Linked DNA regions of Oryzias latipes. The protein of the gene in region 2 interacts with the protein of the main gene of each other region in a pairwise test. Links are inferred from orthologs where the notes say so. Each region holds a gene or a part of one and is shown on either strand. Other genes may lie near its edges.

What was found.
Region 1: the proteins of agtrap (region 2) and mief1 interact in binary tests that used the Homo sapiens proteins (3 or more experiments, as listed by UniProt). The two-hybrid records come from large-scale screens. The link is inferred for Oryzias latipes from reciprocal best matches to the Homo sapiens genes AGTRAP and MIEF1.
Region 3: the proteins of agtrap (region 2) and coq8a interact in binary tests that used the Homo sapiens proteins (3 or more experiments, as listed by UniProt). The two-hybrid records come from large-scale screens. The link is inferred for Oryzias latipes from reciprocal best matches to the Homo sapiens genes AGTRAP and COQ8A.

What each region holds. Positions count from the first base shown.
Region 1 is NC_019866.2:18,852,399-18,856,052, reverse strand, and holds the end of mief1 (mitochondrial dynamics protein MID51), read left to right. Parts: intron 1-996; coding exon 997-1,268; intron 1,269-1,338; coding exon 1,339-2,157; 3' UTR 2,158-3,477; downstream 3,478-3,654. UniProt on the Homo sapiens protein: Mitochondrial outer membrane protein which regulates mitochondrial fission/fusion dynamics.
Region 2 is NC_019863.2:32,256,301-32,259,513, reverse strand, and holds the end of agtrap (type-1 angiotensin II receptor-associated protein), read left to right. Parts: intron 1-788; exon of another isoform or gene 789-931; intron 932-2,093; coding exon 2,094-2,221; 3' UTR 2,222-2,574; downstream 2,575-3,213. UniProt on the Homo sapiens protein: Appears to be a negative regulator of type-1 angiotensin II receptor-mediated signaling by regulating receptor internalization as well as mechanism of receptor desensitization such as phosphorylation.
Region 3 is NC_019882.2:16,026,217-16,029,970, reverse strand, and holds the start of coq8a (atypical kinase COQ8A, mitochondrial), read left to right. Parts: upstream 1-1,466; 5' UTR 1,467-1,853; intron 1,854-3,754. UniProt on the Homo sapiens protein: Atypical kinase involved in the biosynthesis of coenzyme Q, also named ubiquinone, an essential lipid-soluble electron transporter for aerobic cellular respiration.

The DNA.
Region 1 (3,654 bases), on a different chromosome or scaffold from region 2:
AGCCGGGACTTGGACCGGAGGCATTCTTGCTGTGAGGCAAGAGCGCTAACCACTACGCCACCGTGCAGCCACGTCATCCGCATATCATTACAAAATCCGAGTTCCTGATTGATTCAAGTTCAACACTCATTCAATGCACGCACGTTTTGTACAAAGAGCTCAAAAAAAAAAAAACTGTCTTAGAAACTTGCATAGCTACGTATGAAGGTATAGATTTGTCATTGGAAGTGATGGCTTGAATACGCGTTGCCGAGGGCGATCTGAACATAGCTTCACATAAGACTATGGAGCTTTTTCTCCTGCAAAAATGAGGGCTGCAGCTTATATATTTTTTTCATTGTTGGTTTTCTTTAAATTTTCAGTCAAATCATTAGATTTTAAAATAATAGTTTGTCATAACGACTGTAAATAGTTACACTGATTTTCAAAATGTATTTTTTTTAACGTTTTTTGTTGCATGAAGATAAAAAAAAAAAACCTTTTTAAAAAAAAAAATAAAACCAATTAAAATGCACCGTATTGACAATAGAGCAGATAGTCACAGCTGTTCTAACAGGACTGAGATTTGTATGTTTATTATGTGGTTATAAGAAATTTTTCATCAGTAAAATGAACAGTTGAAGCATCGTATTTTTCCATGAACGTACCTGACAGCCCAAAGGACGCTGCAAAAATGAGGCGTTGGGCTCAGCGGCTTCTTACACTCTTTAAAGTGATCTATAAACAAAGTTTGATCAGCAAAACATCCAATGGTGCAAATATGAAATGTCAAACTTTGACTTGTACTCCATTTTCTGTCAGATGTTAACTTTTTTTTGTTTCAGAGGTCATTATGGTTACTTTTTTAACCATAATGACTGTTTTAATCAGGACATTATATATTAAATAAATTTTAAGTGGAAAAAAAAACAGCTTCTAAAGCTTCAAGGCCAAAACCCCTGAGGAGTCACCTCAGGACGTTGCTGTTTTCCACCAAACTTGTGTTTGTGTCGTCAGACCGTTTGCGCAGAGCTGTGGGTCGCTCTGCAGTTGGAGGAAGTGGCGCCTGTCAGTCGGACCTGCAGCGAGCTCGCATGCGCCTGTCCCTGCAGGAGCGTCTGTGGGAGTTCTACCAAAAGCACGTCAACATCCCGGCAGAGGAGCAGACGGTAGCCAGGAGGGCGGCGCTGGACATCTGTGCGGAGCTGAGAGTGTTCCTTCACGCCAAGCTGCCCGACATGCCGCTCAGAGAGATGTACCTCAGTGGAAGCCTGTACGACGACCTCCAGGTCTGCACTCGCTTCACTTCTCCATCATTTCCCTCATTTGGTTGGGATTGAAACTTTATTGTCCTCTCAGGTGGTGACAGCGGACCACGCCCAGCTGATGGTGCCTCTCGTCTTGGAGAAGAATTTGTGGTCGTCTATCCCAGGAGAGGACACGATCATGAACGTCCCGGGTTTCTGGCTCGTCCGCAGGGAAAACCTGGAATATTTTCCGAGGAATAGCAGCTACTGGGACCGCTGCATGGTCGGAGGTTACCTCTCCCCTAAATCTGTCCTTGAAGTCTTTGATAAGCTCGTGGGCTCCATCAACTGGCCGGCTATAGGGAGTGTCCTGGACTACATCATCCGTCCCGTGGTTCCCTCTGAGACTTTGACCCTGGAGGTCCAGTACGAGACGGACCGGACTCTGTACGTGGACTTCCTGCCTTTGCTGGTGATGGGGGATGGAACCTCGCTAATTGCCAAACCACACCGGCTCGCTGCAGAGCGCCACGAAAACCTGTGGCGGCAGAGCTTCCGCGTGGCTGAGACGGCGCGCCTCCGGGCTCTGGATCAGGAGGACGGAGGCTGCCGCTCCACCTGCCTGAAAGTGGCAAAGGCCGTGTGCAAGCTCCACCCTGCCCTCCACCGGCTCAACTCCAGCCAGCTCACCAACGCCATCCTACTGCTGAGTGAGAAGGAGGGGGACTGGACCCAGGAAGCGCTAGCCGACCGCTTCCTTCAGCTCCTGCGGGCTCTAGTGGGACACCTAGAGGCTGGGAGGCTCCCCTGCGCCCTAAGCCCCAAAGTTAACTTGTTTTGTGAGCTAACTGAGCAGGAAGTAGACGAGCTGGGGTACACGCTGTACTGCGCTCTGTCCGAACCTGAGGGGCTGCTGAAAACGACGCAGTGAGAAAACCCATGCATGGAAACGCCCCCATTCCTTATGGAAAACCGCTGTCCTGATCCTGTGCAGCCACATGTTTAAGACCGTAACAGTGTTTTCACTCTGTGACACAAATGTTTTCATCCTATAGATGTGGGTGGGCATCCTTAAAGCCATTGTATTATCAAGTACAGAGGCGGGGCGCCAACTACTGGAAAAAGGTAGCTAGCAGGGGAAATTGGGTAAGGAGGATTTCTGGGTCAAAGTTCATGAAAAGGTTGAGAACTCCTGAAAGAAAGGAATCATCAGTGATCCACACACTGAAGGATTTCTGAAATCTTACTCGGTAATGCAGCTGCTGAGCTCACATCTGCTGCCTGCATTATTGAAACATAGAAAAAGGACGCACCTACAAATAAAGAGCAGCCCCATGCTGTGAGAGGTGGAGCCAACTGTGGAATGATGGGAAACGGTGCAGCACTTCATTGTGTTTTTTCACAACTGGTGTTGTACTCGTGGCATTTTTCCAGGAATTGACCATAGAAATGTGGAGTCATGCTGCTGGGTTTTTTGCTTTAATTTCCTCCTTGCTCTAAAGTTGTCTTCAGGAGGCGGAGTTTTCTCACTAAATGATTTTGACTCTGAAGTTTGAAGAGGCTTGAGCGCCAAGGAGCTCAGCTGTGATGGGTTTGTGCGTTAGTCTCATTAAGTTAAGCTGGAGTTTGCTCTCAGAATAGTACGGTGCACTCTGCACGTGAAACCCTGATCGGCTCATACCCAGCAGCCAGACGGGAACCAGGTACTGGTTATGTAACTACAGCTACTTCAGCCAAACTTTCTGTTCAGATTTCAACTCAGTCGAAAAGTCGTTTTTGTGAAAACGTCAAGAATGTCCTGGTTTCTTTTCCCATTTAGTGAAAATATTTACAAAAAAACATCCAGAGATAAAAATCCTCTAACTCCCAACTCAGTGGTCTGTATGGTTTCTGTGCAATTAGTCATCAATATGATGGAGAGGTAAATATTTTTCTATTTATTATGCATTTGTAACCAAAAAGATGCTATTTATTTTCACTGTACCTGTCCAGTGTAAGTGCTTTGTTCTGGCTGTACCAATATAACGCGATCATACAGAATATTTTGTCCTGTCAAACATCAGATCCTCCTGAGTGTCGGGGTAGCAGGGGTATCACTGTGCCACACGATGGAAAAGCAGCTGCTGGGACGGCAGACGGCCACACGCTGGGGTGCACGTCAGTCTGCCGTCAGTCCAGTCGCTTCTTTTTTCCTCTACAGGAAATTGCTTGAAAACTGGATCAGAGTTGAATAAACACATCAAATTACAAAGTGAGAAATGTTGACTTTTATTGTATTATGTGACAATTCCACCTGAAAAAAAAACCCCAACCTCAGATTTAAAAAAAATGCTTGAAATAATGAAGTAAGTGGTACAGAGGTTAAAATGCAGCATCAAAGTAAAACACCAAATATCTTAAGTCAGTCCTCAGTGCGTCACTTAAAAAT
Region 2 (3,213 bases):
CAAAACATGTAGTGATATTCATGGAAATCTAACGGTGCACGTTCATGTTTGGTGTTACAGAGTGAAGGAGAACAGTAACAACCCCCCCCCCCCAACACAAAATCCTCCGGCGGGCGTCTATGTCGCGCACTCAAGAACGCACCCAGCTTGTAATGGAAATGAATACAATGGAAATTAATGATTAGAACGCAGTAAATTTGTCGTATTTCCTCGCGAGAAGGAAATTTCTGTTGTAGAATGAGGATGTGTGTGCTGCTGAAACCTCATGTGTGTGTGTGTGTGTGTGTGTGTGTGTGTGTGTGTGAGTAGAGTGAGCGCGTGCAGCGTAGAGGGAGTGAAGGAAAACAGAAATGAAAGGTTCCCCCCAGAAACCCTTGAAGTCTGAACACAGGACTAGAAAAAGTAAATTATCAGCAAAGATGAACGTGTTTAATTATAGTTCCAATCATCATATGCAGAACTTTCAGAAAAAAAATAATAAAAACTTTCAAATTAAAAAAAGGTGCTGTGATGAGGTCATCACCGCGGTGATGAGGTTATCGTCACACCCCTACCTGAGACCTTTGTAGACGCCAACAGCAATGCAAACGCAGCAGCTTAGTTTGGTCAGAATGTGGTGAAAAGTCCGTCTTCTGCCTGTCAGGTGAGCTTTCCTGCGGCTCCTGCGTTTGCCTTGTCGTCTGTTTTCCATGTCTTTGTTTGGCTGTCATGCTGTTTCCTGTGTTTCTGCACGTTTTGATGGTTTGTTTCTGTTCTTTCTCCTCCACCGCTTTCCCTCGAACCCTCAGATTTAGAGACCTCAGTGGACAGTCGCTGCACTACGGACAGTGCCGACAGTGCCTTTTTTGGCCGCCGTTATTGATCGCCGGCTTCCCCCTTTCTATCAGTTCCCTCCCCGGGTCGTCCTCTTCGGTCCTGCTTCAGCCCGGAAGTAAGCTTTGTGATCAGACTGCAGGACAAACGGGAGAAAGATGCTTTTCTTTCCCTTCTGTCGTGTTGAAGTTCTGATCCATCCCTTCTGTGAATGTTCTGGCTGAGCTGCACCAACAGAGGTTCTCCTCTGTAGAGAGTCTGTGTTGGGACTGCATGTTGGCACCAGGGGGGCTGCAGCACTAAATGAGCTGCTGAGCTGAGACGGCCGTCCTGCCGTCATGCGGCGTCGGCTCATTCGGGAGCACGACGTGGTTTAAAGAAGCAAAACCAACATTTCGTTTCCGTGAGGCCCTTCTCACCTGTCCTCATTACCGTTTTAGGCTCTCTGTTGGTGTTTATGTCTGCAAGTATTACTGATATTTTATTCAGAGATGGTCTCCAGACGCCTCATTTGTGTTCGTGTGTTGTGTGTTTTTGGGTTTCCTTGTATGTACGACTCTGAAATGAGCCTAATTAAAATCCAAATAAGGTTGGCTCATAATTGAAAGTTAATGGGAAGCAGTTGCATGCGCATAAATGACTCAGAAACCCTTCAAACATGCAGCATTCATATTCTGAGCAGAGTCTCAGGTGTTCATGCAGCTCTGGAACGTCCGCCACAAAAACAGAGTTTATTAGAAGGAGCTGCATTTCCAGAAGAAACAGCAGGGTTGATGCTATACTGCTGAATGAAAATGAAACTTAAAGAATAACATTTGTCAAAAAACAAAAAAAGAGTAAATAAATAAATGATCAAAGTTGATCATAAATAAAGTGAAAACAGCACAATAACAAAAAAATATTTGTGAAAAATGCCAGAGCCGGGTATCGAACCAGCGAGCTTCTGCTCCAAGGATTCCCCTTTATTTCAATGGAGGCAGAAATCCTGGAATATCTGGAAAAGTTCAAGGATTTGAAGGAGCAAAAATCACAGCTGGAAAAAGATGAAATAGCTGAACATTTGAATAGTTGAATGGTTAAAATAGATGAAAAATTGTAGAAAGATACTAGAATAAAGAAAGAGAAGTCTGTGGGAGGAAGTGGAATTAAAAATGATGAAACTCTAGCAAAAATGTTTCTAGATTTCAGCAAAAAGCCGGAGTCCAAAGACCAGATTGTTTGAATGAGGGTAATATTTCCAAATAACGCCTTTTCGCTGCCTTGTTGCTGCTTCCCTGCAGGTTTTCCCTCGGTATCACGGAACAGAGAAGCCTATCAGTCCATCGACCAGCAGGACGAGTCGTCCAGCCCACCAAACCCCTTCAACCAGGCCCAGGACACCACCCGACCAGGAGTCCGCACGTACTGAGCGCCGCCGGACGCCAACCGCGCAGCCTTCTCTCTGACTTTATATGCAGCGACGGGCGACGAATGTGTGCAAAACCCCACAAATCCTTCTGGTGAATAAATACTTGGGGTGAACTCTTCATCTTCCAGTGAATGTCGTGTTTTCAGGAGGAAATCTGAACCTCCTGCTGCTCGTCTGCTGTTACCAACGCGATTCCAGTCAAGCTGTCAAGTAGATTATTTTTTACGTGGCATTTACAGACGGTTACAGACAGTTCTGTGAGTTATAGTCGTACCTTTTTGCAGTATTTTATGACTATTTTGCAGAAACTCTTTGCTTTAACAAACTGAAATAAATGTTTGACCGAAAACTCAGCGTTTGGGGTTTGAATCCTTGGACCAGAACGGAAACACTTCAGTAATGTTGATGCTGCACAAACACATCTGCCGCTCTGCACATCCCAACACAGAAACACTCCATTTCCCAGCGTGCTTAGCGTCTCAGCGAATAACTCATCCGTTTTTCTCAATGGAGCCGTTTGACAACATTTACGGCTTTTATTCTGTGAAACCTGGAGATTCCTGCTTTTCGTTTTGGTTTTTCTTTCTTTTATTATTTTTCAAAACAAATGTTTATATTTTGAGTAAATGATTTGGCTTAGATATTCTTTATTTACTACATTTTTGACATTTCTCTCTTTCCAAAACTCCGACATGACGGCGGTTTTTGATAATGTAACCTTTAAACCTTTATGAAGATCATTTAGGATTTGATCTAGTTTGAATTTAGCAGTTTTTAGGATGTTTGCAGCTCTCATTATTCTGTTGGTTTAAAACATTTTTGACATTTTAAAAAAAATCATATTTTAGCCTTTTTTAAACCAAATTTGAGTGTAAATTATCTTCACCTTTTTAGAGTTTTTTTTTAAGGCAGATGTAGAATTCAGTTTGTAGGTTTAAAGGTTTATGAACTGCTTCTTCTTTGTAAATGTCCTGTCAATCAAACTTTTCAGC
Region 3 (3,754 bases), on a different chromosome or scaffold from region 2:
GCTTTGTCATGTAAAAATACAATGTGCTAACTAACCCTTTAAGATCACCCACCTTAATGAGATCTTCTGCTCAACTATGTGCATGTACAGTTCTTTAAAGGTTTGCTAGCCTGTATATTTATTTGGATTGATCCTATAAAAAAAGAAGAATTTTGTGAAATACTTGTGCTCGTGTTTGGTGTTCTTGTCCACCTTTATGTGTTGTGTGTCAAATTGATTTTCATCCTGGCTTTGGTGACCCTTGGTGATGCTGATTCTGTTCCTTTTCCACAACAATTGCCATGTTTGCATGAGGGTTATTTGTTATTCAAATCACACCTATCCACAAGAGCAGCAGTGTCCGGACCTGGTTGAAGAGAAAGGACGTGATTCATGAGAAGTTCTGGCCAGAAGAAGAAGAAGTCAAAATGAGATCTTTATGTGAACCATTTAATATTCTATCCCCCTCTTTTATGCAAACACTTGCATTTAACACATGTAGACTTACTAGAAAAGTATTGGGGTTTTTTTTGTAGTAGAAATGAAGACCTGATTAATTAGGAGTTTTTGTGCCAAACAATTTACTTTAAATTAATAAAGCACCAAGCAATTATTGTTAACATATATTTATACCACTCAATTTATTTACACAGAACATAATTACTTTTGTAAAGAAGTAAAGTCAGTGTAGAATATGTTACCATCCTGATTCATGACTAAACACGCGGCAGTAGAGGTCTTTTGCGCCCTCTACTGTCAATAAGCTTCAACTGCAGAGAAACGCTTTAAAACCATTGTCCAGCTCAGAAAGCTGTACACATGTACATTGTAAAAACTGTTTGCTTTTAAAAACTGTAGATTATAATTTTCTTATAATTGCAGCCTAAGAGGCTTAATTTGAATTGGATTACCAATACAAACATAATTATTTTTCACCTTTATTTTAGCTGTCAGTTTCTTCTCAAGTTACCAAAAGGTAACTGATCTTCACTTACTGACAAATGTCCAGATGGACACACACATCAGAAAGATTTGGGCAACACTCGTCGCTGAGATCTGGCGGGCTAGAGACAAAAACAAGGCAAACGTCATGCACTGTCACTCTTCCACCAGCAGATGGCAGCAGAAGGTCGTTTGCTTTTACTGTAGCTCTGCCAAGGTCATGAAATATATATATTTTTATGTTTATTTGTCTAAAATAATTCCTGCTCTCACCAATGTTATTGCCTTTATTTTAAGAGCAGTTCCTGAAAAGCCCTTTCAGCTTTTGAGAGTCCGTTAAAAAGCTTTGTTTATCTCGTGAAGCAACGTGACCCCGCCTCTCCGAGGGTTTAGCTCCTCCTGTAAACAGACGAAGAACGTCCCAGAGAAGCAAACCAGAGCTGTTTAGAACTACGGTTGAACCAATCTGCAACACGATTTTCCCTCTCTGCAGTCCTAAAGAGGGTGCTATTGTTTTTTAAAAAAATAACAGAAAGGACCTATTTACAAAATGTGGTAAATACTTCAGATGAATGAATCATTTTTATTCCCTTTTCTTTATCGTTTGCCGGATCTCGGTGGTGGAGTAGGTTGCGTCAATAAAGGGCTCTGGCAGCTACGTAAAGTTAGTAAATAAGGGGTTGACCTCGTGGTGTCAGACAAACTGGATTAAGGTCTACCAGCCGCAGCGTCTGCTGCAGGCTAAGGACTGCTCACAGACCTGCAACTCCTGCTATTAAAGAGCCATTTCACGGCAAAACAACTACCCTCTTCGCATCTGTGTTATATAACTCGAGGGGTACGTTTGATTCGAGTCGCCAGGATCGTCCTGCCTAAGTTCGACAGCCTCGGAGTGGAGAGCAGCAGCAGCAGAAACCCTTCGATAGCTGCTGGTGAGTTCTTTGCACCGAAGCATGCATTATTATTATTGTACATGCAAAATAGATGTCTTTATTTCCACCTGGTTGCTGTGCAAAGGGAAACTAGCGTTTTAATTTCCAACTGGTTCCACGCAGAAAGTAACCCTTGGTGGTCAGTCAGCGTGCTGACGTGCCTCATTAATGGCGGCTATTCTCTGGCTGCTGTACTTGTGCAAAACTTATGGAGTGGCCATCGTGGGAAAAAATACCAAAATGGTTAGAGTTGACGTAAGAGACAAAAAAGTATTTAATTTTGGGTTTAGAAAGGGCTACTTCCGTTACGTTAGCATGAAGCAGAAGTGTAGCTTTGGGGCTAGCCGCTGAAGCTTTGACAAGATAATATAGATTTTTTTAATAATTAGTTTTATGATTAAGGCCTTTTGTTGTACTTTTTTTTCTTTCTTTTTTTCATCAAAAAATTATATAGTCCACATATTTATCTCATTAATTTAATTCACCATAAGCTTCTCTTGTAGACTTATCTGTTTTATTCTGTGCAACATGTTCTTTGAGACTTTTTTTAAAAAAATGTAATTTTATTGTGATTCTTATGGGTGTTTTTTAAATACATTTTTGTGACATTATGTGTTGTTATTATTTTTAATTTTTTTTTTTTGGATATTTTTTTTTTTTTTTTTTTTTTTAGTGTTTCTGTGAGAAAAGAAAAACTAATTATTATTATTATAAATGCATTGGCTGCCAGACCCGACTGCAGGCCCAATGTGTCTGTGATTATCACTATATTATCATTATTATTATTGTTATTGTTGTTATTATTATTGTTATTACTGTTATTATTATTATTATTATTATTATTATTATTATTATTATTAAGGACCTTAGTCTACATAGGAGACGGGCATAAAAGGACTCCATCTTATTGGTCAAATGCATAAAGGGATTTATTTGATTCATTAAATGCTTAAAGCTGTCATAAGATTGTTTTAGCTCATTTAAGGTAACCATTTATTGCAATTTTCACCAACCTTTTCAATATGGACATTGCCCAGCTTGATATTGCAATAACGATAAATTTGCTATTTATTGTGCATACCTAATGTGCGTGTGTGTGTGTTTATATCTAGATATACGCACACTCACACACAAAACAAATCCATCAACGGTATCATGAGGAAAGAGGTGTTTTTTTTTAATACGTGTAGATCTGGATGGGAGTTACTCTTGTATGTTACCACATGTGCATTGGGGAACGTGATTTCCTTCACATTTCCTGCATGGATGATGGTGACGCTTCTCCTTCTGCTGCTGCTGCTGCTGCTGCTGTGGCTCACCACTCCACAGTTACCGCAAACGTTTCCCACATTTGGCTCCGAGTCTGTAAAGGTTGGTGATGTTACGCTGTCAGGAAGCCATGAGGTGTACTTCTTTCAGCCGCTGGCTAAAGCCGCATGGCTGTTCCCATAATAGCAGTGTGACAGCAGCCTGTGCAGCAGATGACAGCTGAGGCTTAGATCTCTGTATGTTTGTGAAGTCTGGGTTCCACAATAATACCATGTTACAATGCAGTTATATAAATACATAAACAAAAAGTGCCTGCGGTTCTCCTCTATATTAGACAGGGGGTTTCTAGCCACCCATCAATAGGAAATTGCTAAAAAAACAAAAACAAGACCACAATTGAATAGCAATTACTTCCTTTATTGTTGTTTAGCTTTACATATAGATCTGTTGATAAGTGATCAGAAAAAAAAAAATTAGGTTGAATTTCTTTTTATTAAAATGTGCTAGAGGCACATACTTGTATAATTAATTAACAATAAATTGATTGTAAAAGGTGGTATCTTTAAAAAAAAACACAAAAGAAGAAGTTTATACATTTGTTAACTTAATAAATGTTTAATTTCCATCAAAGT